Linked DNA regions of Stegostoma tigrinum. The protein of the gene in region 1 purifies or fractionates together with the protein of each later gene. This does not show direct contact. Links are inferred from orthologs where the notes say so. Each region holds a gene or a part of one and is shown on either strand. Other genes may lie near its edges.

The links.
Region 2: the proteins of faf2 (region 1) and nploc4 purify together in Homo sapiens (affinity purification with mass spectrometry; 3 studies listed by BioGRID and IntAct, with this or other methods). This does not show direct contact. The link is inferred for Stegostoma tigrinum from reciprocal best matches to the Homo sapiens genes FAF2 and NPLOC4.
Region 3: the proteins of faf2 (region 1) and setdb1b purify together in Homo sapiens (affinity purification with mass spectrometry; 3 studies listed by BioGRID and IntAct, counting the BioPlex papers as one, with this or other methods). This does not show direct contact. The link is inferred for Stegostoma tigrinum from reciprocal best matches to the Homo sapiens genes FAF2 and SETDB1.
Region 4: the proteins of faf2 (region 1) and ubac2 purify together in Homo sapiens (affinity purification with western blotting; 7 studies listed by BioGRID and IntAct, with this or other methods). This does not show direct contact. The link is inferred for Stegostoma tigrinum from reciprocal best matches to the Homo sapiens genes FAF2 and UBAC2.

Annotation. Positions count from the first base shown.
Region 1 is NC_081366.1:45,949,848-45,957,645, forward strand, and holds the start of faf2 (FAS-associated factor 2), read right to left. Parts: upstream 3,011-7,798; 5' UTR 2,956-3,010; coding exon 2,887-2,955; intron 1-2,886. UniProt on the Homo sapiens protein: Plays an important role in endoplasmic reticulum-associated degradation (ERAD) that mediates ubiquitin-dependent degradation of misfolded endoplasmic reticulum proteins.
Region 2 is NC_081375.1:23,072,277-23,079,624, forward strand, and holds the start of nploc4 (nuclear protein localization protein 4 homolog), read left to right. Parts: upstream 1-4,340; 5' UTR 4,341-4,461; coding exon 4,462-4,476; exon of another isoform or gene 4,477-5,057; intron 5,058-7,348. UniProt on the Homo sapiens protein: The ternary complex containing UFD1, VCP and NPLOC4 binds ubiquitinated proteins and is necessary for the export of misfolded proteins from the ER to the cytoplasm, where they are degraded by the proteasome.
Region 3 is NC_081400.1:5,507,168-5,514,585, forward strand, and holds the start of setdb1b (histone-lysine N-methyltransferase SETDB1-B), read left to right. Parts: upstream 1-4,408; 5' UTR 4,409-4,646; intron 4,647-7,418. UniProt on the Homo sapiens protein: Histone methyltransferase that specifically trimethylates 'Lys-9' of histone H3. H3 'Lys-9' trimethylation represents a specific tag for epigenetic transcriptional repression by recruiting HP1 (CBX1, CBX3 and/or CBX5) proteins to methylated histones.
Region 4 is NC_081359.1:17,621,659-17,628,867, forward strand, and holds the start of ubac2 (ubiquitin-associated domain-containing protein 2), read right to left. Parts: upstream 3,009-7,209; 5' UTR 2,925-3,008; coding exon 2,894-2,924; intron 1-2,893. UniProt on the Homo sapiens protein: Restricts trafficking of FAF2 from the endoplasmic reticulum to lipid droplets.

The DNA.
Region 1 (7,798 bases):
AACTCATGTTTAGAGATCAGTTGAGGAGCTGGTTTAAATACTTAAGTATTCAAATAATATTCAAAATGACATACAAAAACTGAAGTTGCTGGAAAAGCTCAGCAGTCTGGCAGCATCTGTGAAGAAAAAAAAAACAGAGGTAATGTTTCGGATCCAGTGACTATCCTCAGAACCGATGGTAGCTGGAAAAATGTTGGTTTATATACAGAAAATAGGAAGGGGAATGGGATAGGGAGTAAATGATAGGATAGAGCCTGAACAGAGGTCTTCTGTTTTCATTCCTGACTTACAGGATCTGCAGTTCTTTCAGTTTTTAACTCAAAATGACGTTTCTAATTAAACATTGAGTGTGGCAGTTCAGCGATAATTGATTCAATCAGCTAACATTCAGTACTGAACAAGCAGGTATTTCCCATGCCTAAGTATTGCGATCACTGAAGTTTGTTACCACCAGAATCTTTCTTCTGCAACAACCTTTTCCATCTCCGTACCTGCCAAATTTGAAAATAGAGGAAGATTATGCACAACTTTGCAATTGTGTTTGACTCCAATGAGTTTTCTATCACATAGCCATTCCATTTCCCAAGATGATATACACATCCACGTCTGCTTCAAGTAAATATGCAGATGACTCTCATCTGTACTTGAGATATAGTCAAGCTAAGACAATGTTCCTCTTGATGGACACCTCTGTTCCACCCTAATAATCTCATCCAAAGCTAGACTGCCTATCAATATTTTGGTTGCAGAAAGCAGCAGAGTACATCAGCAACAGCTTAACCATGTTAAAAATAAACCCTTGCTTTAAAAACCCTCCATGGTCTCATCTCACCCCATCTCCATAAGCTTTTCCATTCACACAAGCATCCAAGATTTCCACAATCGAGGTTTTAGCCTATTGCATGTCCACTTTTAATTGTTCCACCACTAGGATCATTCTTTTAGCTGTCAAGCCCCTAACATCTAAAATTCCTACATAAGTCCGCTTGGGTTTCCTCCTCCTTCAAAATTAAGTTTTCGACCAAGTTTTTGGTCACGAACCCCTCTTCCACATGTCTCCCCTGCAGTTATCCATGTTGTAAAAAAAAATTGTCGTTCAGTGCCTTGGGGCATTTTTCTACATCAATGTTCCTATACAAACAACTTGAGAGTTCCTACGGTGAAGTGGTAGTGTCTTACCTCTGGGCCAATATATCACGGTTCAAGTCCTACAAGTTCCTGTTTGAAAAAGTTTCCAGGCTGGACAACTCTATGACTGATTCTAAGGGGATTTGTAATATCCATCCATCAAGTTGTTACTAAATTGCCTCTACAACTTAAAATGTAATTTGTACCTTAGGGCCAACACAAAAAATTTTGCGAACCCTGGAGGCTAAGGGTATGAATGTGGACTGCACAAGCTTCAAAATCACCCTCCCCCGACTGCATCCCAAAACCAGCCTAGCTACTCCCCACCTCGCTAGCCATTCCTCCCATCTCAAGGCCCACCCCCATCTCCTACCCACTAACCTCATCCTGCCTCCTTGACCTGTCTGTCCTCCCTGGACCAACCCATCCCCTAACTCCCCACCTACATTCACCTTCACTGGCTCCAAACCCACCCCTTTGACCTGTCTATCTCCTCTCCACCTATTTTCTCCTTCATCCATCTTCTATCCGCCTCCCCCTCTCTCCCTATTCATTTCGGAAACCCCTTCCCCTCCCCCATTTCTGAAGAAGGATGCAGACCTGAAACGTCAGCTTTCCTGCTTGGCCTGCTGTGTTCATCCAGCTCTACACCATGTTATCTCAGATTCTCCAGCATCAGCAGTTCCTACTATCTCTACAAAAAAATTCTGATTTGTCATTTCATTCTCTGTCTCTTCCTCCACTCAACAACACCACCCACTCTTTCAAAGAAGGTATGAGACTGTGCTGCAACCACTCTATGACCTATCTCGTGGCTGAAGCAAGAACAAACAATTTGAGGAAACTTCCTGATAGCTAGCGATGCATTCAATTTCATCCATTCTTGCCTTGCAAAATGCTTATCTGGCAGTACAAGAATCTCACCTTTTGCAATATCAGATCTAATGCAAGACTTTATATATCACCTGAACTACACATACAGGATACAAATGTAAAACCATACGGTTACAGTGTCTGGCTTGAAAATCTTTTAAAAAATTGTTGAAAATTCAGAGAAATACTTGCTCATTAAGATGAGTTCAGCCTTTTCAACTTTCAACTAATTGATGTAATTCTTAAGTTATTGTTTCATTTAATGTAATGTTCTTCTTTTCCAAGGGATAGAATTTCACAGACCCCTAACATTTACAAAGTTTTAACAAGTTCCAGATAGTTTGCCACACACTTAATAAAATCACAAATTAAATACTCTACACTAAGCTTAGCATACATCAGTCCTGCAAAACACAAGCTTATTTCATAAGTGAACATTTCACGACACAGTCACATTGCTTCAAAAGCAAAAAGGATAAAAGTTAAAATGTTCCAAATGCTCCACAGCTGCTGTCAGGCCAGCTGGAGTTTTCCAGCAATATCTCTTTTTGTTAAAGTTAAAATGGTTTCAGTTAAGATAATCACCAAATGTTTATTCAGCATAAAATATAGATCCAGCTAATTCAATTTTTAACACTATTAGGGTTTTAACTGTTTAGAATTTTGTAAATGGAATTGTAGTTGACAGTTTTTTTTCCTTGCTCTAAGTGAATTATGCCAGATGGAGGGTTACCAGAAAATGTTGTGAATACAGAAAATGCCACAGGTGCAGAAGCTTCAGCCCTTCAGCAGGACTAAATTAATTCAATTAACGAATTAAAAAGTACCTGAGAATGACGACTCACGTCGCCCTCTATGGAATTCTGTTAAGTTTGATGAATTTACCTGAAACTGCAACAGTTTCTCTGTTTGTTCTTGCGTTAGTTCCTCCTCTTCATTGCCAGGCGCCGCCATCTTGGATCTTGCGTTCCAGGCCCGTGCGGAAGTAGATGATTTTTGGGTAAAGTCGCAACCACGAAACGCAAAAAAAAATGCGGCCCAACCAGTAGTTGAGTTCTGAAATTGCACCAATATTTAAAAATGGTACGAGGTATTTTTACGCATCGGGTTTTGGATTTCGATGCATTCCAGCACAGATAGTGGGCCGGTTACGGAAACAACCGACGCTCTTCGGTAGTTCTCGGAATCGCCCGGCGCCGACCTTAACAGTTGATGGAGTTGTGGCGCCTGGGTTGAGAGGTTGCAAGTTCAATTCAGTGCAGCACGCGATTGGTCATGAGAGCTGGGCCGTGATTCCAGAACTTTAGCCTGGGATGCCGGAACCTTCGCCCGGGAGTTCTAGAATTCTACAACACTCTACACATATTCTACAACTCGTATCCGCTTATTTTACGTTTAATACCCGTCGCAACACGTGTCTCTGGAGGTTTCCTCCCCTTCCTGCCATCCTTAACACTGAAGATGGGTCTTGATGTAGGAGGCTGAGCGCAGACAAGATTGCGTTGCCAACGCACAAAAATACTGACAATAGTTGAAATACGTGGGTGGAAAAGATGTTCTTTGAAGTTAGACATGTTAGATATAGAATGATATGACGCTAATGTTTGCAAAGTAGTTTTCCAAGCGATTAATGTTCAGACTTCTATCTGAGAGTTTTTTTTTAGTCGTGATTAAACAATGACTTTTGAATCACGTTTTGAAATTCTCCATTCCGGTTAAATTTGCCTTCTGAGTTCATTGCCGTCTTAGCTTAACATTTCCCTCCATGTAAACTCCCCAAACCACATTTGCACCCATCCATTGATCTTGCAATTAATCTTACACGGCCTCAATATTCTCATGCCAGTTACTTGTTTGTATTGCTCTCCACTTGCATCCCATTTCCAACGTTCCTGCCTCTTGTATATACTCACAGAAAGCTTCTTCAATTTACACTCAACAGCTGTGCTTTCAAAATCCCACTACTTAGCCTCTGTTCTTCAATTAAAACAAGTCAACTGCACCTACACCTCCAGGCTTGATATTCTACAATTGCCATTAGCGGCATGAGCCTCACCCTACTACTTAACGGCGATGAGCAAAGGGTAACAGACTTGAGTAGACATGGCAGACAACTAGTTTAGGTATTCATTGTGAGATCTTACCTGAATGATGCTGCTGCTGCTAGATCTTGCTCTCCTAAGCCAAAACTGCTTATTTCACCAGGATAATTCTAATAAATAAACATAAACAACAGCTCCTCTTGTTCACTGCAAACTATCTTAATCCCCTCCGGCTTGCATCCATCAATTGCACCTCTGACAACACTTTTACGATTTCAAATTCTCAGGCTGTCTCAAAGTACTTTACAACAAATTAGTTACTTGTGTAGTTTTGGAATTTAGAAACTATGACTGCCTATTTGTGCACAGCAGTCTGCCACAAACAGCGATTTGATAACGAATGTTCTTAAGTTAATTCGTGACTAAGTATTAGCAGGGAAACCATGATTAACATCTTCACTGCCATGCGATTGTTCTGAGAAATCTGTGAAGGGCATCTCTGACAGTTTAGTACTTGATTTTTGTGCTTAAGTCCTGCAGCAGGACTTGAAATCATAATGCCTGATTCAGAGGATGACAATACTACACACTAAGCCACAAATGACTGATACTATATCCCCAACTGCCCTTATAAGTTCATCTTGTCCATTATTCCCACCTCCTACTTCCTGGTCACTTTTCCACTAAACTGTTGACCAACTTCCTTTCTATGATTCCATGTTAGTTGACTTTATTAATGGCTCTGTCTTCTCAGGTACTATTCTACCTGACCTAAAAACAATCCTTCATTCCTGAACTTCATCCTTACAAACTGCCACTCCATTTTCAAACTATATTTCCAAGATCCTCTAACATTCTTTTGTCAATTAATCTGTATTCATATTTCTCAAAACTTCATATTTGAATCCACCCAAATTATGTTTCTATGGCTGCCTAATTGAAATAGTTCATCTCAAAGTTATAAATGACATCTTATTTGTGAGTGACAGTAAAATATATTTTTATTCTTCTAAATTTGTCTGCACCCTATAATTTTGAATGACCATAAGAAGTTCTTCCAATGCCTCTTCACTGTTGGCTCACTTTAATAGAAAACTTTCCCAGTTTCATCCTCATCTATTTAATTTTAACCTGACAATAACCATCTTCTTTTGAACTGTTACCTTTGACCCCTACCTATTTCTCCTCTACGTCTCTCCTCAGTGACATGATCAGGAAACACTCTCGATTTCCACGTATATACTGATGATAAACTACTCACATTTCTCAATCCTCCACACTCTCTAAATGATCAGATTGTTGATCCAACAGAAATTTCTTCTCAGGAAATGAGCAGACATTTCCTCAAATTCTATATCAGGATGACCAAAATCATTACATTCAGATCCCCACACCAACCGCACACACATTCCATGCTCCATTTCCTAGCCACTGATTCAGTCTCCATGGCAACCCTCAGAAGCTGAACCCGACTCTTTGCAATGTAGCATCAATCCAAGGTGAGTTTCCAACTACCTATCTGCCCAATCACTAAGTGTGCTTGCTTCCACATTGCAACATCATTGGTTAACATCCCTTAAATCATCTGCTGCTGAAATCCTTTCTAACCAACTGTATAACATCTATAATTATTCAAATGCATTCCTGGGCAGCTTCTTATTACCCTCAGTAAGCTTGAAATCACCCAAATCTCTGCTGCCGGTGTCTAAGCTCAGACTAAATCCTGTTCATCCATCACCACTGTGCTCACTGACCAAAGTTGTTTCAGATTTAAGCAATTCCTTAATTTAAAATATTTCATCCTTGTTTTCAAATAACTCCACGGCCTCACCTCTCCCTCTCTGTGTCATCTCTTCCAACTCTATGACTGTCTAAGGTACCTGCACTTTTCAAACTTGACCTTCTAAACATATCCATAATTTCTGAGTTACCATCACCCTAGAATTCCTTCCTTAATTTTTTTTTCCTTTAAAGCATTCCTTAAAACCTACATTTTTGACCATCCTAAAATTTCCAGTGATTGGTCTCAAATTTTACTCATGTTTCTATGGAGGTACCTCAGGAATTTGACGATCTTAATTGCAGTATGTAAATACAAATTCTTGTTAAAACACTATTTTCAAGAATGTCATTATTAATAAACAATAAAATAGATATTTTGTCTCGGCTCAAATAACAGTACTTGTTATGTTCTATTAACTGACCTGAAATAGCCAATAGTCTAGACATGTTTTCTGTTAAAGCATAGGAGACATCAACCCAATTTTAAAACAAAAACTGGCAAAAACAATTGCTTTCTAGAAGGACAAAACTAATCAAATCCTAAATCCTACAAAACAAACACCCTTGGAGACTTTTCTTGGTTAGTGTGTTGTGTAAATACTATTTGACACAATTATTATTTCCATTATCTGTTACAAATTCCTGCAGTTTCAGCCTAGAAAACTTCACACCTACTGGCAGCCTTCACCAGCACTACTCAGGAATTGATGTAGCTGTAGACGTGAAGGAACATGGTTCTGACAGCTCCATTGAAATGTTGTGAAAGCTAGGTCTGGAGTAACTAAACGGTAAGTTGACATAGGTCGCAATATTATGACTTAGTCTATTAGGTTGTTGTTTCCTTTTTAGAATTTGGAAGTTTATCTCCTGTGACCCTTTGCTAATTTTTATAAAGTTGATGAAGACACCAAGGCAATCCAGTGTTATCATGACTAGCCAGTAAGAAGAGTAATGAGACAGGCAGTCAAACATTCCTTGGCTGGAAGGTAAAACTCAAAATTAAATCCAAGGATCTCTGCTTCGTAAGGCGAGTGGGTGGGCATTGGAGGAGGATAGACATGACGTTATTAGCTTGCATTCCACGCTCAAATGGTTGAGCAAGATTCAGCACATGCACACACTGACAAAATAGCAGGTTAAGCAACTTACTGGAATGTGACTGGTGGCCCATGAAAGTGCACATTTTGAATGGATCATTGAACTAAGGTGAGTGGAAGATTAAATATCCCCAAATGTAAATCATATCTCTCTACGTGATGTTAAACTATTCACTGTGATACAATTTCCCTTAATTGAAACTTCATGTTCTCTTTCATTGTTATCAATGTTAAGGGGTCTATTATTGGTCACATTGTACGTGAATAAAATGAGTAAACCTTAAGTATTTATTCATTTAAATGAATCAGACTGTAAAAATGTCTCAAACAAAACTTTAAAAAAACCCAATATGAATAACTTAATAGCTGATTTAATTCAGCCGTGACTACAATTCAGATGACTCTCCACCTTGCATAGTAAAGCTGGAAATGAACCATAATCTGCTGAATGATGACTGAAAGTATGGCTTGTGGTAAAAATATAGAAACTAGATGGTCAGCAAGACATTGCATTTATATCACAGTGAGCATAATAAAAACTCCCAAGGCACTTCACGAAAGCACAATTGGACAAATACTGATACTGAGCCAAAAAAGATATTCTATCTTCAGTTTTTCTGACTCATCTGGACATAAACTGGTCCCGTATACACAAACACTATACAAATTAATGCTGGAGAAAATTCATTATTCCACTCCCTAAACAGGAAAAGATATCTAAATTAAAATTCAATCTATCCAAAAATATCTAGTTTCATTGGCCCACTATCGTGCTCTGAAAAAGGTTTTCCCTATTTGCTTTGAGAATTCCTACAGTATGGAAGCAGGCCATTCAGCCCATTGAATCCACATCAGCTGTCCAAAGAGCATCCCACC
Region 2 (7,348 bases), on another chromosome or scaffold:
CTGTGGAGGGTGAAACAGAATCTGGCATGAGTCTTCTTCAGAACTGTTTGCTTTATTTTAATACATTAATCTCAATTTGATAATCAGATTTAAGCTTTTATAAAGTATTTCTCAACTGTCCATGACTTGCTAGTGAGACTCACTTTCAGGCTTCAACTGACTTCTTTTGTCGATTAGTAATAACTGAATATTCAACAAAGGCTGAATCCAAGTTAAAGTTAAATATTTCATCCTCCTTGGATAACTTTTTTTGCTGGCTGCTGTCAGTTGTTTGTTGCATGTAATCAGCAAGGTCATTGGAAAAGCAGATAAATTCATTTCTTCCTCACCTCTTCCAACAGACATGAGGTGGCTCAAAAAAGAAAGCAGAGGCTAAATTGTCATGAATTTTATGGTCAAACAGTGTAGAAAGTTCCAGACCTTTTCATCAGTTGGATAGTCTGCTTTTATGTCAGTCTCATTCTCTGCCATTCATTCCTGTAAGAGCAAATGGAGGTAACTTTGCTGCAGGTCACTGTTACTTTTGGTGAATCCTATTCTCTGCTTCTCCTACCTTTCCTCAAAGTAAGTGAGAAATCTGCCACATCCTCCTGTGGTCCTATGGACGTTGGTTCTTCAATGAAAAATGGCTTGCAGATTAAGGAGTCAATTTCTTGTCGAGAAATGAATTTATTTAAATTCAGCTGCAGCATGGGAATAAAAAAGTTTCTATGTTACCTGCACAGCTCCGTTTTATAAAGAACAATGCTGTTTGGGAATGATGTACACAGTATCAATAATCTCCATTCCATTCTAGAAAAGGATAACCTGCATCTGCCCTCGCACTGTTATTGTAATGCCTCCTACACCTTGAGGTTTAGTTGGACACAGGTGGAGAATTTAAGCTTCGACCATAGTGGTGAATCAGAAAGAATGGCTATGCTTTCCTCTGTATCCACTTTAATACCAATTTATTTTCTACTAAACATGATATACATGCCAGTGGAACCACCAGACCACCCCACCACCCAGAAGAATATGTCTTGAGACTTGGCAGCATTTACTTCTTTGATAACTGTAGAATGGGGCAGTGTGTTTTTCAACTTCTGTCCAGCAAATAGACAATCCTCATTGTTACTTTATCGAACCAGCCTAAATTGGCAACAAAAGCAGAAATCGCTGGAAAATCTCAACAAATCTGACATTATCTGTGGAGAGAAACCAGAGTTAGCATTTCAGGTCCAGTGACCCTTTTTCACAACTCAGCCTAAAATGATACTCAGCATTGCTGGTTGGGTGGGATTGTTGACAATGTGAAGCTATCCTAATAGCACAGACAAGAAACAATGACAGAAAATGGTGCTCCTTTCTCTCAGTGTTATTTATCTTACCAGCAAATTGGTAGCTCCCTATTAATGAATTGAACTGAGTGACATTCAAGTGGTCTGGCACCAGGAAAGTTCTCTGTCTTCAAGAATAAAATCTCAGCTTTATTTGCAAAGTACAATCTGGTGAACTGCACAGCCTTTCCTCATATAAAACAGAATTTTAGAGGAGAGCACAATGGCTCAGTGATTAGCACTGCTGCCTCACAGCACCAGGGACCCAGGTTCAATTCCCCACCCTTGGGCAACTGCTTGTGTAGAGTTTGAACATTTGCCCCCATGTCTGCAGGGGTTTCCTCTAGGTGGCTCCAGTTGCATCCCACAGTCCAAACCTGTACAGTTCAAGTGGACTGGCTGTGCTAGATTGCCCCCAGTGTGCAGGCTAGGTGAATTAACCATGGGAAATGCTGTCTGGCTGGCTGGGTTGCTTTTTGGAGGGTAGACTTGATGGTCCGAATAGCCTGTTTCCACGCTGCAGGGATTCTGATTAAATTGAAATTTCTCAAAAGAGCTCCATCAAACACTTGCACACTGATAGAGTCCCTTCATGAGCTCATCTCTCAATCTTCCCTATTGGCAGTTAGCACCTGGCTGATATAAATTATTTATAGAAGAATCAATAGACTTCCCTAGCTCTTTGTTCTACCAGATAAATTTTGCCCTTTGATGGGATTGTGTCTTTAACTAGAATAAGAATCAAAGAACTAGATCACATCATCATATTTAACAGTGTGTTTTCTGTGCCTGACCTGATAAAAATAGTGTCAATACTGCTATTGATCACGTACAACAATACACTGATTTGGTCTTTATCTGATATTTTTGAGGTCAATGGCAATCTGGTATCAACTAAACCATTCGTCCTAGTTGACCTAATACAGGATCTGGTCACAGGCACTGAATGTGGTCCAGTAGCCCAAGAGAAGGCCTTTCTCTCAGTGTTATTTATCTTACCAGCAAATTGGTAGCTCCCTATTAATGAATTGAACTGAGTCACATTCAAGTGGTCTGGCACCAGGAAAGTTCTCTATCTTCAAGAAATAAAACTCAGCTTTATACTGCTGAGTATTTTTCTTCTTGAAGAGTTATGGCAACTGAAAACATTTTATTTTCTCCTCTTTGTGAAGATCTCTAATCTGCAGTAATCTCTTATATACTATGATCAGGCAGCATCTTCTTTACATATGCCATGAGTTCTGTGGATCTGGTCACCACTTGCCAACATGTTTTGAGATTAAATCTGGGTTATTGATAGAAGGTAATCTGCTTCCATGTCAGTTAACATCAACCACCTTTACATTAACGATATATAAGAAAATGGTAAAGAAGACATCCCTGGGAAACCAATGCATTTAGAGCCCAATTCCGTATCATCTGACACCATGATGGGCATTACTCCTTACAGACACACTCAGTGGAATAAAGGTATAGTTGGCCACTTACTCCACAGGAGCAGAACGGGAATAGATGATATGTTGATGCAGTGAGCTGAAGTAGGATAAGACATAGCATGTACAGGGTTAAAACATTGGAATAAATCTGAATGGCCTGTTTTGGTAAATTTACACACAATTCTAGGAATGATACATACATGATTATTTTGTAAATTCCCTATTAAAATGTTGCGATAATGTTACTTCCGCCATCTACAATTCGACCCCAAGACATTTTCCCATCCCCACCCTTGTCTGCCTTCCGGAGAGATCACTCTCTCTGTCACTCCCTTGTTCGGTCCACACTCCCCTCCAACCCCACCACACCCGGCACCTTCCCCTGCAACCGCAGGAAGTGCTACACTTGCCCCCACACCTCCTACCTCACCCGCATCCCAGGCCCCAAGATGACTTTCCATATTAAGCAGAGGTTCACCTGCACATCTGCCAATGTAGTATACTGTATCCATTGTACCCAGTGTGGCTTCCTCTACATTGGGGAAACCAAGCGGACGCTTGGGGACCGCTTTGCCGACACCTCCGCTCGGTTCGCAATAAACAACTGCACCTCCCAGTCGTGAACCATTTCAACTCCCCCTCCCATTCTTTAGACGATATGTCCATCATGGATCTCCTGCAGTGCCACAATGATGCCACCTGAAGGTTTCAGGAACAGCAACTCATATTCTGCTTGGGAACCCTGCAGCCCAATGGTATCAATGTGGACTTCACCAGCTTCAAAATCTCCCCTTCCCCCACCGCATCCCAAAACCAGCCCAGTTCGTCCCCTCCCCCCCAAGCCTGTCTCTGCCTCCCTAACCTGTTCTTCCTCTCACCCATCCCTTCCTCCCACCTCAAGCTGCACCTCCATTTCCTACCTACTAACCTCATCCCACCTCCCTGACCTGTCCGTCTTCCCTGGACTGACCTGTCACCTCCCCACCTATACTCTCCTCTCTACTTATCTTCTTTTCTCCATCTTCGGTCTGCCTCCCCCCTCTCCCTATTTATTCCAGAACCCTCCCTCCGTCCCCCTCTCTGATGAAGGGTCTAGGCCCAAAACGTCAGCTTTTGTGGTCCTGAGATGCTGCTTGGCCTGCTGTGTTCATCCAGCCTCACACTTTGTTATCTTGGGTATTTGTAACACGGTTTTAAGCTTTGGTCCCACATTGACTAATATTGGACTTACTTGATAAAAGCACATCTTGTTAACTACACTGCACTTCTACTACATCATGCACAGAAAGTTGTCCAATTGGTGAATGTTCCGACGGATCTGCTTTTTAACGGGTGTGCAAAGTTTAAGAAAATTAATGTTAACTTGTCCATCTCATTAGGATATGTGGTATCAAAGTTCAAAAAACTGTTAACTGTTCTATAATTTTATGGGGAAACGAAATGGAAGTAAACTTGCTGGAATATTTTAGGATAGGTTGCGCAAATATAACTAATTACTGTGCGTGTGGTAGTTTGTACGTAAATTGCTAAGTTTTGTTTTTGCATTGTCAACGTTGTACTGCGTTGTACAGAAGGGGGAACGTATATACCTCGGAACGGAGTGTTACCTTGCGCTGTGCAGCATCGGACGGGTTTTGTGGTGACACGCGGAGGAGTTGGAAGGCAAATTTCGGTAAAAGGCCGAGGAGCCGCTCCCGGGGGGTGTCATGGCGGAAAACATTGTGAGTAACGGCTTCATCTTCGGCGAGCTTCTTGCAGCCTGCTCGGGTTCGGGGCCTGAAGGCCTCCCGCCTAACATTGGTGGGCCGTCCTTATTACCTGACCTGGGACACGACCGACTGGAGAGGTCCCTGATTTTCCCACTTAACTGCCAGGCCCGGACTGAGGAGTGGGGGTTGACAGCTTCAGGCCAAGGCCCCGACAGCGGCCCTCCCTGTCCCTGGGGTTGGAATGGAGCATCTCCACACGTCTCCGGTGTCGGAGCAGTGAGGCAGCAGATCGGGTTTAGATCCCTCCCCTCTCCCTCCATGCCTCAGCCAGCTGGAGGCCGGGGAAAGATGTGGGGTTCTTTCGACCACTCACAAAATGACACGATGTAACCTCCAACATGACTTGCACCAACGTTTGATTATTTAGTCTGTGCGTGGACTGTAGATTTGCTTTGCTGCCCGGTTTGAAGTGATTACTCAGTTAAACTGAGTCTCTGCCTGATGCACCATATCGAGTTGTGATTGCTTCCTAGTCCATTATGTTGACTACCACAACTTTTTGGAGAATGCAGCCACCACAGTTGCCTAATCCTTCTGTGTTGCACTGTCAGTATTGTTTGTCTGTATGAGGCGCTCGTTCACAGCCAAAGCTGCGTTTTTGGCCTCTGCCGTTTGCCCAATTTTCAGCAGTTAGACACTGCTGCATAGTCAAATGTTGAGCAACAGATTTCGCGACCATTGTGGATTTTGTACTTTTAAATGTCAGTATTCAGAATTGCTCTTCTTGCTCATTCAATGACGTTCAATTTGTCTAACTGTAGGATTGAAATTATATGGTCACGTAATTGCTCAGTCACTTAGAAAAGGACACACTTTGGATTCAGTCATGTTGGCCAGGATCCCTGGTCAGTAAATTAGCTCATCCCATCCTGAATGAACACTAAGATTAGCTCGACCAAAGTGCTGCTGCCCTCTGGATTCAGACCCCTGAATGAGTTGGCAGTTTTGCATGGGGAGGGAATTTTAATATGTCTGCATAATTTGAAGAAGCTGGGGAAACACACTGAATATTTTTGAACAACCTGTTTTTGTTTTAATAAAGAAGCTTTGCTGTAACTTGTGCATTTGAAAAGAGACTACAAATTGAAGACTGTCTAAATGATATGAATTACTTGCAATCTGAAGTACTATATGCATGTAAATATTTATTTAAGGTAGTAAGAGTTCAGTAAATGCTTTATTATATCTTGTACACAACTTGTGAGTTTAAAGATATCTATCTGGATTGAAGCACACAATGATTTTGTAGTACTGTGGGCATTTTATAGGTGCTAGATTAATGAAAATTGTGACTTACTTTTTAAAACATTAATTACTACTTCATTGCAGTTTTAAGGCTGTAATGGTAGTGACAAATGAGTTAGTTGGGAGATTGGAAAATAGACACTTTAGTGATCAGCTGTTGTATGATGTAAGTGTGGGTTAGGAAGTTAGTGCCAGCTATTTACGTAAATGTTTTAAAATTAAAAATAAAGTTGGTCACTGTGCTGTAGCTTTGTGCCAGTGATGTCAAGTAGTAGTTTTCAGAGAAAGTTTGAATATAGATGCAATGATTGGAGATAGAGATGAGTGAAATCCAGTAACGAAAGGTGAACTACTGGAAACTCCAGCTGGTTAGATTGCATTTTTTTTTTGGAGAGAACAGAAAAGTTTGAAGATTCCACAACGAAATCTCTATGGAATGTAATCCAGACAGTGGGTTGGGAGCTGTTTTATGTCCATTTGTATAACACCTTGATTTTATGTTTATAGTTTTAAAAATGAAAACATTACCAATTGGAAAGTAGAAAAGGAACCCCTTTGGAACACTGTCTGCATTAAAGATTGAGAAACTAGAAGATACAGAACTGAATCACTCAAACACTACCACTGGTGTGATGGTGTGGACAGTTACAAAAGTCGGCACAAGAATTTACAATGGATTAGTAATAGAAAACATAACACAAAAAATAACAATTTGAAATAGGATTTTTGTAGCCAGAAATACATGTATGAATTAAGTTTTTGAATGCTGGCTTTGGTTCAGTTTGTAAGATCCTGCCTCTGAGTGTCAAATGTCCATGTTCAAGTCTAATCCCAAGACTTGAGTGTCAGCAGGGCTTTTCTTACACTCCAGTGCAGTCCTCTGAGCACAACATTGCTGGAGGTGCCATCTTTCAGATGAAATATCAAACTGAGGCCCCATCTACCTATTCAGATGTATGTAAAAGATTGTGCCGCACATTCAAAATGAGGAAGCGAGTTGACCTGTCACCAAAAATCACAAAAAAAACACCTGAGCATCATGACATCGCTGTTTATAGAGGCTTATGACATGCATTTGGTTGCTGCTTGCCCTCCATTACAATACCCTTTTTATTCAAAAAATACTTAAAATAACTATAGAGTGCTCTGTGTTGTCTGTCTGTTGTGAAATGTGCAACGTAAATACACATCCATTTTTAAAATGTGTGGTGATGTAGTGTGCCATGATGAAGAGATAGCAAGAACTGCAGATGCTGGAGTCAGAAACAACACTGGAGCTGGAGGAGCAAGAAAGTTATGTTTTGAGTCAGGACTCTTCTTCAGAAATGGAGAGGGATCTCAAATAAATGGAGGAGGGATGGGGCTGAAGAAGGTAGGTGGGATGGTGATAGGTGAGTGCAGATGATAGGCAGTGGTGGAGATTGGTCAGTGAGATAGGTGGGAGAAAAGATGGACAGGATATGTCAGGTCAAGGAGGTAGGGATGAGAGGGAGTGTTGGACATGGGATGAGGCTGGGGTTTGGGGAGATTGAAACTGGTGAGCTCCATGTTTAGACCATCAGGCTGTAGGCTTTTGAAT
Region 3 (7,418 bases), on another chromosome or scaffold:
AGGGTGGAATCGAACGCAGGTCCCTGGCGCCGTGAAGCAGCAGCGCTAACCACTGAGACACCGGGTCACCAAGTTTCCTTCCCCTTTTTTAAGCTGATGTGAAGAGCACTGTATTTTGTTTGAATATATTTGACAATAAATGATTCAATTCAATTATTGTGAGTAGCTGAAGGGGCATGAAGCAGGATTCTTTATCCCAAGGGCATCAGATCTGATTTGGATTGATTTATTGTTGTCGCTTGTACCTAGGCACAGTGAAAAGTTGTGTTTTGCGAGCAGCACAGGCAGATCATACCACACAATGATCATCGGGTGACAGATCAGGGTGAGATATACGATGTAGTGGTTACAGAGGAGGTGCACAAAGAGCGAGATCAACATTTGAATTTTGGGAGGTCCACTTAGAAGTCTGATAACAGCAGGGAGAAAGCCCTCCTTGAATCTGTTAGTATGTGTATTTAAGCTTTTGTATCTTCTGCCCTCGTGGTGTTATTGCTAGACTATTAATCCAAGAGACCGAGGTGATGTTCAGGGGATCCAGGTTCGAATCCCACGACGGCAGATGGTGGAATTTGAATTCAATCAAAACAAAATCTGCAATTAAGAGCTACCGAAGACCGTAAATCTGTGGCTGAATGTCGGAAAATCCCATCTGGTTCACTGATGTCCTTCAGGGAAGGGAATCTGCCCTCCTTACCTGGTCTGGCCTACATGTGACTCCAGACCTACAGCACTATGGTTGACTCCCAGTTGCCCTCTGAAATGGCCAAGCAAGCCAATCAGCTCTACCAATCGCTACAAAGTCTCAACGAAATGAAACTGGTCGGATCACCTGGCATGGCACTGTAAAGGAAAATGGCAGAAACAGCCCTGTCGACCCTGCGAAGCCCTCCTCACTAACATCTGGGGGTTAGTGCCAACACTGGGAGGGCTGTCTCACAGACTAGTCAAGCAACCGTCTGACATAGTCACATTCACAGAATCACACCTTACAGACACTGTCCCAGACACCACCATCACCATCCCTGGGTATGTCCTGTCCGCCACCCGGCAGAACAGACCCAGCAGAGGGGGCCGCACAGTGGGATACAGTTGGGAGGCAGTTGCTCTGGGAGTCCTCGACATTGACTCCGGACGACATGAAGTCTCATGGCTTCAGGTTTAACACGGGCAAGGGAACCTCCTGCTGGTTACCACATACCGTCCTCCCCCAGTTGATGAATCGGTACGCCCTCCATGTTGAATATCACTTAGAGGAAGCACTGAGGATGGCAAGGGCACAAAATGTACTCTGGGTGGGGGACTTCACTGTCCACCACCAAGAGAGGCTCGGCAGCTGTCCTACTGATCGGGCTGGTCGGGTCCTAAAGGACACAGCTGCTAGGCTGGGTCTGCAGCAGGTGGTGAGGGAACCAACAAGAGGGGAAACACATATTTGACCTCATCCTTACCAATCTGCCAGCTGCAGAGGCATCTGCCCATGACAGTATCGGTAAGAGTGACCATCTCACAGTCCTTGTGGAGACAGAGTCCCGCCTTCACATTGAGAATAACCTCCATTGTGTGTGTGGCACTATCCCCGTGCTCAATGGGACAGACTTCACACAGATCTCGCAAATCAGGACTCGGCATCCCTGAGACGCTGTGGGCCATCAACAGCAGCAGAATTGTACTCCTGCACAATCTGTAACCTCACAACCTGGTGTATCCCCCACCCAACCATTACCATCAAGCCAGGGGATCGACCCTGGTTCAAAGGAGAGTGCAGGAGGGTATGCCAGGAGCAGCACCAGGCAGACCTGAAGGTGAGGGATCAATCTGGTGAAGCCACCAGACAGGACTACTTGCACACCAAACAGCGAAAGCAGCAAGTGAGAGACACAGCCTAGCGATCCCACAGCCAACAGATCAGGTCTAAGCTCTGCAGTCCTGCCACATCCAGTGGCGAATGGTGGGGGTCAATTAAACAACTCACCGAGGGATGGGGCTCTGCAAATATCCCCGTCCTCAATGATGGAAGAGCCCAGCACATCAGTGCAAAAAGTAAGGCTGGAGCTTTCGCAGCAATCTTCAGCCAGAAGTGCCGATCTATCTCGGCCTCCTGCAGTGGTCCCCAGTGTCACGGATACCAGTCTTCAGCCAATTCGATTCACTCCACGCGATGTCAAGAAACGGTTGGAGACACTGGATACTGCAAAGGCCACAGGCCCGGAGAGCATTCCGGCAATAGGACTGAAGACTTGTGCTCCAGAACTTGCCGCTCCCCTACCCAAGCTGTTCCAGTGCAGCTACAACCCTGGCATCTACCTGGCAATGTGGAAAATTGCCCAAGTATGTCCTGGACACAAAGAGCAGGACCAATCCAGCCTGGCCCTTTACTGCCCCATCAGTCTCGATCATCATGAAAGTGATGGAAGGTGTCAGTAACAGCGCTATCAAACAGTACATGCTCAGCAGTAACCTGCTCAGTGACATCCAGTTTGGGTTTCGCCAGGGCCACTCAGCTTCTGACCCCATTACATCCTCGGTTCAAACATGGACCAAAGAGCTGAATCGCAGAGGTGAGGTGAGAGTGACAGCCCTTGACATCAAGGCTGCATTCGACTGAGTGTGGCATCAAGGAGCCCTAGAACTGGAATCAATGGGTATCAGGGGCAAACTCTCCAGTGTTTGGAGTCTTAGGTGACACATAGGAAGATGGTCGTGGTTGTGGGAGGTCAGTCATCTCAGCTCCAGGACACCTCTGCAGGAGTTCCTCAGGGTAGTGTCCTCAGCCCAACCATCTTCAGCTGTTTCATCAACGGCCTTCCCTCCATCATAAGGTCAGAAGTGGGGATGTTCGCCGATGATTGCACAATGTTCAGCACCACTCGTGACTCCTCAGGTACTGAAGCAGGCCATGTTCAAATCCAACAAGATTTGGACAATATCCAGGCTTGGGCTGACAAGTGGCAAGTAACGTTCATGCCAGCCAAATGCCAGGCTATGACCATCACCAATAACAGACAATTGTCCCTTGACATTCAATGGTGTTTCCAACACTGAATCCCCCACTATGATTGATCAGAAACTCAACTGGACTGACTACATAAACACAATGGCTACAACAGCAGGCCAGAAGTGTTACTGCGGTGAGTAACACACTTCCTGATTCCCCAAAGTCTGTCAACCTTCTCCAAGGCACAGGTCAGGAGTGTATCAGAGATTATGGGAACTGCAGATGCTGGAGAATCTGAGATAACAAAGTGTGGAGCTGGATGAACACAGCAGGCCAAGCAGCATCTTAGGAGCACAAAAGCTGACGTTTCAGGCCTAGACCCTTCTCAGAGAGGGGGATGGAGGGTCTCTGATGAAACATCAGCTCTCCTGCTCCTAAGATGCTGCTTGGCCTGCTGTGTTCATCCAGCTCCACACCTTGTTATCTTGGCGTCTTTGATGACGTTGGTTGCATTTATCGTTACAAACGTGAGGCTAAGCCAGAAAATTGGCGTAGTTTGAAGAATTAAGCACGTGCTTGAGGTTTGGTTGAGGAAATCCATGATTGGTTTGACTGCTCCAGCTGCCCCACTCGGTGCCCAGACTCACCGTCGCCAACTGGAGCTGGAGGTCCCAATTACGTGAAGAAAGGCCTTGTCTCTGTGATCAGAGCCTGGGAATCGATGATCTAGCCGAGCGAGGTCAGAGGTTTTGCTGCACTGAAAATAGCTGGGTGTGGACCACCTGCTGGTTCATGCAGATGGCCATTCGGCCCTTCCAAACTTCTACCCCACTCCACAACAGGGTGACCATTGTCACTGGCCAGCCCATGTCTCTGCCCATCCATTGGTAGAAGGTCCTATTATTGAGCTGGATGGGCGGGACTGCAAATGTTCCAAAAGCCGATTGGCCGGCTTATCAGTCGATCAGGAAGAATTGCCAATCATTACGGAGGGGCTTGGAGATGGTTGGGCGAGCGAAACGTCAATTACAAATGGGCGGCATAATCGGCGGTGACTGTTACCCTTCCATCTTCCCATTGGCAGGGGAGGACGTCGATAAACGGGTTGGTATGCGCGGGAGTCCAGTGGCGTTCTCCGTCTGGGAAGACAACCGCTCGATTGGCTGCTTCCATGTCGATCGCGGCTGATAAGGTGGGACCACATGCGATTGGTCAAGACTCCAGCATTTCGATGCCCATGTGGGTGGGTCCTCATCGCATTGGACAAGACCACCGTCGATCAGGAGGAGAGGAGGCTGGACCCCATTTGACTCATCTAGACATCGGTCAATCAGACGCTGCGGGGGTGGGGCCTCATTCAATTGGGCCGCGTGCCCGTCACTCGCGGACCGTGGGGGGCGGGGCCGGCACCGATTGGCCGCGGTCCCCGTCAATCCGGTTGGCCGGCAGCGACGTTGGCCAATCCCCGTTCAAGGTGGGTCGCAGCCCGGCGTGTTTGGGCGACTCACCAGCAGCCGTCTTTTCAAAACATCCTTTCACTCGGGGGCCTGGGAGGCGGCGGAACGGTGATGCACTTCAATTAAAACCATGTAGCCTTTCCACCGCAATTTGCAAAGTCACACAGAGCGAGCGAGCCTGTTAAAGAAATTTAGAGAAGCCGCGGCCTAGTGGTTAGGCGCTAGGCCCAGCCTCACGGCTGCAGGAGAAGGTGAGATGCTCGGATTGTTTTCTTATTGTTTGTCTCCTGCAGGTTGGTGCGGAGGTTCGCTCGTCGTCTTCTTTAGACTCCACGTTCCCGCACTGCGGCCGGGTGTTTCTGCCTCCCGGAGCCTTTAATCTTCCCATTTTTTTTCTTTCACTTTTTTTTCAAAATTGCCTCGGAGAGCCGTCCACTGGAGTAGTGCGGCTGCGCGAAAGGGCCGTGCGCTGCTGCACCGCGCGTGAGTATGCGCGTTGACCCCGCGGAGCATGCTGGGGATTGTAGTTCCTGGCTCCCCCTTTTTCTCTCTCTCTCTCTCTCTCTCTCTCTCTCTCTCTCTCTCTCTCTCTCTCTCTCTCTCTCTCTCTCTCTCTCTCTCTCTCTCTCTCTCTCTCTCTGTGTCTGTCTGTCTCTTTCTTTCCCTCTCTCTCTCTGTCTCTTTTTTGTTTCCCCTTTTTCCCCCAAATCCTCCCTTTCACCAAATCCCCCCACCCCCCTCTACTGTGGCTCGAGGAATCAGCCCTATGTAATATTGCCTGTGAATAACCCAATTCCTGAGAAAAAGGTCAGAATGTGTAAGAATCTTAGGATCCCTACAGTGTGGAAACAGACCATTCAGGCCAACAAGTCCACACTGCCCCTCCAAAGAGCATCCCACCTAGACCCAATCCCCTGCCCTGCATCTCCCATGTCTAACTTATGTCACCTAAACTTCCCCAGGCACTATGGGCAATTTAGCACGGCCAATCCACCCTAAACTGCACGTCTTTGGACCTGTGGGAGGGAGCTGGAGCGCCCGGAGGAAACCCCACGCAGACACGGGGAGAACGTGCAAACTCCGCACAGACAGTCGCCCGATGTTGGAATCGAACCTGGTTCCCTGGCACCGTGAGGCAGCAGTGCTAACCACTGAGCCACCGTGCTGCCCATATGAGCACCATGCCACTGGGTGGTCTCGAGCCACCAATTTTAGTTTCAAGCTAGGCCATTTCAGATCCACCTGTTATTGTGGTGCATTCACTAGTTTTTGGGCCTGACTAAACAGATTCTGCCCTGGGAAATGTTGAAATAGGAGCTTGAGTGGTTATATCTGACCCAGCAAGCCTGTTCAATTGTCCCTTCCTATTTCCTTTGTCACTTATTGTCTCGAAGAAACTTCTTTGCCTTAAATACATTCAGTGACTCCACAGTCTCAAATCATAGAAAATTCTGCCACATTATCAGTGAAGAAATTTCTCACCTCTGTATGAAAGCAGCAGCTCGGTGCCGCAATGGTTAGACAATAGACAATAGGTGCTGGAGTAGGCCATTCGGCCCTTCGAGCCAGCACCACCATTCATTATGATCATGGCTGATCATCCACAATCAGTATCCTGTTCCTGCCTTACCCCCGTAACCCTTGATTCCACTATCTTTAAGAGCTCTATCCATCTCTTTCTTGAAAGCGTCCAGAGAGTTGGCCTCCACTGCCTTCTGGGGCAGAGCATTCCATATATCCACCACTGTCTGGGTGAAGAAGTTTTTCCTCAACTCTTGTTCTAAATGGCCTACCCCTTATTTTTAAACTGCGTCCTCTAGTCCTGGACTCACCCATCAGCGGAAACATGCTCCCTGCCTCCACAGTGTCCAATCCCTTAGTAATCTTCCACGTCTCAATCAGATCCCCTCTCATCCTCCTAAACTCAAGTGTATGCAAGCCCAGTCGCTCCAATCTTTCAACATATGATAGTCCCGCCATTCTCGGAATTGACCTCGTGAACCTATGCTGCCCTCCGTTAATAGCAAGAATGTCCTTCCTCAAATTGGGAGACCAAAACTGCACACAATACTCCAGGTGCGGTCTCACCAGGGCCCTGTAGAGCTGCAGAAGGACCTCTTTGCTCCTATACTCAATTCCTCTTGTTATGAAGGCCAGCATGCTATTAGCTTTCTTCACTGCCTGCTGTACCTGCATGCTTGCTTTCATTGACTGATGCACAAGAACACCTAGATCTCGTTCTGCTTCCCCTTTACCATCTCAATGGAGTCAAGTTAGGTAATCTGCCTTCCGGTTCTTGCCACCAAAGTTTATAACCGCACATTTATCCAAATTAAACTGCATCTGCCATGCATCCGTCCACTCACCTAGCCTGTCCAAGTCACCCTGTATTCTCATAACATCCTCCTCACATTTCACACTGCCACCCAACTTTGTGTCATCAACAAATTTGCTAATATTACTTCTAATGCCTTCGTGTATATCATTAATGTATATCGTAAACAGCTGCGGTCCCAGCACTGAACCTTGTGGAATGCCACTGGTCACTGCCTGCCATTCCGAAAGGGACCCGTTTATCACTCCTCTTTGCTTCCTGTCAGCCAGCCAATGTTCAATCCAACTCTATTTTGCCCCCAATACCATGTGCCCTAATTTTGTTCACCAATCTCCTATGCGGGACTTTATCAAAGGCTTTCTGAAAGTCCAGGTACACGACATCCACTGGCTCTCCCTTATCCATCTTCATAGATACATCCTCAAAAAATTCCAGAAGATTAGTCAAGCATGATTTCCCCTTCGTAAATCCATGCTGACTCTGACTTATTCTGTTACTGCTATCCAAATGAGTTGTAATTTCATCTTTTATAATTGACTCCAGCACCTTTCCCACCACTGACGTCCGGCTAACCGGTCTGTAATTTCCTGTTTTCTCTCTCCCTCCTTTCTTGAAAAGTGGGACAACATTTGCCACCCTCCAATCCACAGGAACTGATCCTGAATCTATAGAACCTTGGAAAATAATT
Region 4 (7,209 bases), on another chromosome or scaffold:
TAGCCTAAATATTGGGCATGCTTTTGCTCTCTCTGGAGGCACAGACTTGGGTCACGACATACTGTAAGTGCAAAGGTGAGGCCCCATATCTCAGGAAGGATGTACTGCTGGCCCTGGAGAAGGTTCAGAGGACGCTCACAAGAATGGTCCCAGAAATGGAAAGCTTAACACATGAGGAACGTTTGAGGACTCTGGGACTATACTCATTGGAGTTCAGACAGATAAGGGGGGATCTAACTGAAACTTTCAGAATACTGAATGGCCCAGACAGAGTGGCAGTGTGGGGGTGGGTGGGGGAGGGGGGGGCGGGGGTGGGTGGCGGAGGATGGGCGGGGGGTCTGGGGCTGTGGGGGGTTGGGTGTGGGTGGGGTGGGGGGGGGTGGGTGTGGGTGGGGTGGGGGGGGTGGGTGTGGGTGGGGGGGGTGGGTGTGGGTGGGGTGGGGGGGGTGGGTGTGGGTGGGGTGGGGGGGGTGGGTGTGGGTGGGGTGGGGGGGGGGGTGTGGGTGGGGTGGGGGGGGTGGGTGTGGGTGGGGTGGGGGGGGGGTGGGAGGTGTAGGGGGAGTGGGGCGGGGTAGGTGGGTGTGGGTAGGTGGGTGTGGGTGGGGGGAGTGCAGACAGACGGGGTGGGTGTGTGGGTGGGGGGAGTGCAGACAGACGGGGTGGGTGTGTGGGTGGGGTGTGCAAAGAGATTGGGTGGGTGCGTGGGTGGGGGGGAGAGGGAGTGCAGACAGACAGACAGACAGGGTGGGTGGGGTGGGGGAGGACAGACAGACAGACAGGGTGGGTGGGGTGGGGGAGGACAGACAGACAGACAGGGTGGGTGGGGTGGGGGAGTACAGACAGACAGGGTGGGTGGGGTGGGGGAATACAGACAGACGGGGTGGGGGAATACAGACAGACGGGGTGGGTGGGGTGGGGGAATACAGACAGACGGGGTGGGTGGGGTGGGGGAATACAGACAGACGGGGTGGGTGGGGTGGGGGAATACAGACAGACGGGGTGGGTGGGTGGGTGGGTGGGGTGGGGGAGTACAGACAGGGTGGGTGGGGTGGGGGAGTACAGACGGACGGGGTGGGTGGGGTGGGGGAGTACAGACGGACGGGCTGGGTGGGGGAGTACAGACGGACGGGGTGGGGGGGTGGGGGGGTGGGTGGGGGAGTACAGACGGACGGGGTGGGGTGGGGTGGGTGGGGTGGGTGGGGGAGTACAGACGGACGGGGTGGGGTGGGGTGGGGTGGGGTGGGGTGGGTGGGGGAGTACAGACGGACGGGGTGGGGGAATACAGACAGACTGGGGTGGGGGAGTACAGACAGACGGGGGTGGGGGAGTACAGACAGACGGGGTGGGGGAGTACAGACAGACGGGGTGGGGGAGTACAGACAGACGGGGTGGGGGAGTACAGACAGACGGGGTGGGGGAGCAGTGAGTGAAGGGCAGAACAACAGGGCATGGTGGGGGAGTGCAGACAGACGGGGTGTGGGAGGGGGAGTGCAGACAGACAGGGTAGGATAGGGTGGGGTGGGAGCGCAGACAGACGGGGTGGGGTGGGAGCGCAGACAGACGGGGTGGGGTGCGGGGGTTGCAGACAGATGGGGTGGGGAGCAGGAGGTTGCAGACAGATGGGGTGGGGAGCAAGGGGGGTGCAGACAGATGGGGTGGGGAGCAAGGGGGGTGCAGACAGATGGGGTGGGGAGCAAGGGGGGTGCAGACAGATGGGGTGGGGAGCAAGGGGGGTGCAGACAGATGGGGTGGGGAGCAAGGGGGGTGCCGACAGACGGGGTGGGATGGGGTGGGTGAGGTGGGGGATTGCAGACATACAGGGTGGGGTAGGTGCAGTGGGGTTGCAGACATACGGGGTGTTGGGGGGAGTGCACACAGACGGTAGGGTGCAGACAGACAGGGTGTGGGGGAGGGTGCAGACAGACAGGGTGTGGGGGAGGGTGCAGACAGACGGGGCATGGGGTGGGGAGTGCAGACAGACGCGGTGTGGGGTGGGGGAGTGCCGGCAGACGGGAAGTGAGGGGGCGTGGCGTGCAAACAAACGGGGCGGGTGGGCATGGGGTGCAGACAGGCAGTTGGGGTGCAGACAGATGGAGTGGGTATGGGTGGGGTGCAGACAGACAGGGTGGGTGAGGGTGGCGTGCAGAGACACGGATCGGGTGGAGGTGGCGTGCACACAGACGGGGCAGGGGGTGGGGTGCTGACAGATGGAGTGGGTGAGGGTGGCGTGCAGGCAGGGTTCGGGTGCAGACAGACGGGGCGGGTGGGCGTGATGTGCAGACAGGCAGTTGGAGACAGATGGAGTGGTGTGGGTATAGGTGCAGATAGACGGGGCGGGTGAGGGTGGGGTGCAGATAGACGGGGCGGGTGAGGGTGGGGTGCAGATAGACAGGGCAGGTGGAGATTGTCAGACAGACATTGCGGGTGTCTGGGGGATCGTCAGACAGGCATTGCAGGTGTCTGTGGGGAGGTGTCAGGCAGACACTGGGGGCGGGTGTCAGGCAGACATTGGGGGGGGTGTCTGGGGGCGGGTGTCAGGCAGACATGGGGGGGGTGTCAGGCAGACATGGGGGGGGGTGTCTGGTGGTGGGTGTCAGGCAGACATTGGGGGGTGTCTCAGGGTGGTGTCAGTCAGACAGGGATGTAGCCAGGCCTACCGGCCATGGTGTCTGGAGCGGGGTCAGTGTAGGACCCAGACCCTTCCTTTCCTCTCCCTGGGCTCATTGGCGAACCCCGCCCCCAACGAGGCCTCCATATTCGTGCCGCGCTTGCCATTCACTGCACCGGCCCAACCGTCTCCACCTCGAATCGGGGAGAATCAACAGAAAAGTTTCCCATTGCTCAGGACTCCCTGAGCTGCCCCAACTCCCACTCCCATGTCTCGGTTACTCACAGAGGCCGCTGGAACCAGTCCCAGCGAACATCGTCCCGTGGCCCCGCCCACACGCGGTGACCACGCCCTTTCTTCCTCACCCCATCCCCAATGTTGACCACGCCTCTCGCCTTTGACCACACCCTTCCCCGCCAAGACCACCCTTCATCTAGACCCCACCCCTCACTTTGTCCCCGCCCCAACGTCATTGTCACGCTCCTGGCTCTAAAACACCTGCTCGCCCTCGCCCCACATGTTCGCTCTGACCGCGCCTCCCATTCCAGACCCCGCCCCCTCGACCTGATCCTGGAGACTGAAACATTCATTGGGACTGATACTTGTATTCACGTCGTAGTAATTTTATCTGACAATGACGTTTACACTGACTGTGTTTTCTCACTAACAGTATTTTCTACACTAATAACATTAATTACTATTAATTACAATTAATAGCATTCATCACTATAAATTACTATTAATAGTATTCATGTTCATAATTATTAGAGAGCTTGATTTAAAGAGCCATATTTGGCTAATACTAATAGTTCTATTAGTAGTAATAAGTATTTGTTTAATCCGGAACAAAAGGTCATAGTTTTAGCACAAGGTGAAACACTTTTAAAGCAGAGATGAGGAGTAATTGCTTCTCTCCAAGTCATGAATCTGGAATTCACTATCCCAGATTGAAGCGGATGCTAGCACATAGAGTAAATATAAAGAGAACATAGATTTTTAATTAGTAACAGTTTGAAAGGTTATCAAAAACAGGCAGGAAAGTGGAACTGAGGCCAAGATGAGCTCAGCCGTGACCATATTAAACAGCAGAGCAAGCTCAATCAGCTAAACGCCTTCCCCTAGTTCCTATGTGTGGTAGAACAGAACTTGACTGCTGCTGAAAAAGGAGATATATCTGTCAAAGCTTTTTCTTCTTGCTCTCAGTTCTGTTGATGATATCATTAATAAATAAAATCCAATTCAGGGAAAACGCATCATTAAAATTTATGACAGGCAAGTACTGATTGGTTGCAAGTGGACTCAGATTGTGAGAAAGTTTGGTCTGCAGATGCAGCAGTTAATGTTGACTGACAGTAAACTGTAAAACTTTGCTTACATTTTAAAGCTAGTAGGTTGGCTCCTATTGGTCAAGTTATTATCCTGAGATATGAACCAGAAAATGGCTGTTGTTATTATTCTTGGGTTGAAACAGGTTGCATGTGTACATTTCCTTCAAGTTTGCAATATGCAGGGCTCTTTGTCTTAATATATTTAACTTGTAGTATACACAAGTGCATGACATTGCTAGCCTGACTGATAATCTTAAATTGGTTATCGGCTTAATCCTTCATCCCCTCAGAATTATCCAGCAAGTGTTGTCCAGTCGCAGAATCACATCTAATGTTGGACATTGTTTTGTGAATTTCACAAGTGTGGCTGAGTGGGTACAGTCATTAATTTGCTTGTTTCATCCAGGTGGAGAGATATATTCCTTGATGCAATCCTCCAGTCTTTGAACACATGGCCTATATACCTAGCAACACACAAGCAGTAAAATTCATACACCATTATCCAGCTGTGCAATAAGCAGAGTACCCTTTTAGTGTAAATGTTATTTTCACTTTTCTTTGGTATGTTTTATGACTTCTTCTGATGAATGCAAGGTGAAATGCTCTAACAAACTGTGTCTTTTTAAACAATATTCTGTGACAATAGTTAATACAAACAACAGTAATAATTATATAGCTTTTTTATGAGTGATATTTATTCCACGTCAGTAACATTAATACTAATAGTAATAGTTATACTCACTAGGAGTACGCTCACTAGTACATACTAAGAAATTGGTACTTGTATAAACTTCAATATTGAACATGCATTAGTTAGATTGGTATTTATTCAGAGACAGGTAATGGGATAGCCCATGGTTTGAGATACAGTGAGGAGACTTCTGCAGAGAAAGATATAAGTTATGTCGGGAAGAGCTGAGAGAAGAAGTCACAACTGGGAGCACTGGCCCTAGTACATGGATCCAGTGAGACAAAAAAAATTCAACCATTGGTCATGTGGCTAGGTACGTTCCCTCTCAGAAACACACTTCAGACCTCCACTGCTACCAGAAACGCAGGAAGCAGCTAAATTGTTACCCAATTATCCCATTGCACTCACCATCCTCTTTCTTGGTAGGAATCTACAGGCCTGCTTGGTAGAGATAAAGCACTTACTGTTGTCCTAAATAAGAACTATGGTATTGCATGAAAGCAGCTAGTAGAAGTGACATTATGTAATAGAATCTATTACAGAAACTATGAGATAGACCCAGACTCATGTTGCACCTGATCGGGTTTCCCATGAAAGCCACAATGACAGCACTTTACTGGGTGGTGCTTAAGGCAATATCAATATTAATCCTTTCAGACCCTTGTACCTTTACCCAACATAAATCTGACATTGAAAACCGCCAGCATGATGAGTAATGGTGACCATGAAATTAAGGAATTGTTGTAAAATACATTGAGTTCACTAATGTCATAGAAAACGTACCGTGTGGAAAGAGGCCATTCAGCACATACTGAACTTCCAAAGTGTAGCCAACCTGGGCCAGGCCCTTTAGTCCCATGTTTATCATTACTAATCCATCCATCCTACACATCCCTATAACAGGACAGGGTTTTTTTTAGCATGGCCAGTCCATCTGCCCTGCACATCTTTGGACTTTGAGAGGAAACTGAAGTACCCAATTAAACTCACACAGACATGGGGAGAACATGCAAACTCCATGTAAACAATTACCCATGGCTGGAGATGAACCTGGGTCCCTAGTGTTGTGAGGTAGCAGCACTAACCACAGAGCTACTCTACCAACCTACATCTGTTAGATAAATATTTACTGTCCTTACCTAGTGTGGCCTTTTCATGTTTCCTATATCACAGAATTGTGATTTTACTTCTCTCTAAGATGACATCGAAAGCCATTCAGTTAAGGGTTGTTAAGGATGGTCAGATATAGGCTCTACCAATGGTACCCACATCCCACAAATTTCTTTTTTATACCCCATCCGTTTGTTGTTTTGCTTGACTCTTTTAGGTTTAACTGGCTCAAAATACCAAAACATACAATTTGTAGAACTAATAAGCTTGCTGGCCCAATGGCCTCTTGTGAACCCCATTAGGTTTTGCATGGTTTCTTTCTGCAGTTAGTACCACAATCCACCAGATGGCAATATTTATTTACATTGTAAACTACGTCCATCTCAAATCATTCACCATGCATCTCGATAGTTCTGTTAATGAATCTTTGATTGTAAAAGAATTTAGGCTGAAGAGATAATTATATTCATGCCATTTAAAACTAGATACCTATCTCTAGTAACTTGTTGCAGGTATCTGTGAAGCTGATTTAGAATGGATAACCGAGTTACGGCACTATCGTTGAGTTGAAAGATTGGAGATGCTGCAATGGTTCTCCTTAGAACTGAGAAGTTAAGTGAGATTTTAATTGAGATGTTCAAAGTTAAGTGACTTGATAGAGTAAGTAAAGACAAGCTGTTTCTACTGGCAGGAGGATTGCTGACGAAAGAAAAATAGGTTTAAGATAATTGGTGAACAAATCAGAGATGCTGTAAGAGGAGGCTATGCAATGTTGGACATGACCCTATTACTCACCTTCATCAAGTTAGAATTTTGCCCAATAGCAAATTCTGAAACTGAACTTGTCTTTTGCACTGTTCCTTTTTATTGAATTTATTTGGAAGAAATTCTGTTTTATCTTATCAACTGTAATCAGACCCGTCATTGATCTTTACATCACTCATAGCAGGATTAAGCAGAATATGTGCAGACAAAGACTGTCAAATCATTACATGACCAATTGTTAAATGCATTGTTATGACTGAGGTTGGAGGAGTGCACTCCCACTAAGGTAAAAAATGCTCTTTCTCATCACCAAGATAATAAACCAAAAACCTTATCCACATTAATAAGCACAATTTGGGATTTATTTTCGAACCAAGAGTTATTCAATTGCAACAATTGGTTAATATATTCATAGAGTAATACAGATGTATAAATATGCTTCCTATAAATATTCCCAAAACACACGGACCCAAACACTCTTCAGGAAAAGAAGGGATAAAAAAAACAAATAAATGCCTGAAGAGATTGGTTTTCTTATTAAAATAAAGTGCATTTTTGTCAATTGATTATTCTTGAAGACAAAAAGATACAGCATACGATGTTACAAAATCTATTGCATGAATACTTTTGCATATTTGGTCACATCAATGATGTTGTGTGGTTGCCCCTGAAGTCTTGCAAATATAACTTGCTCAGAAATTATAATC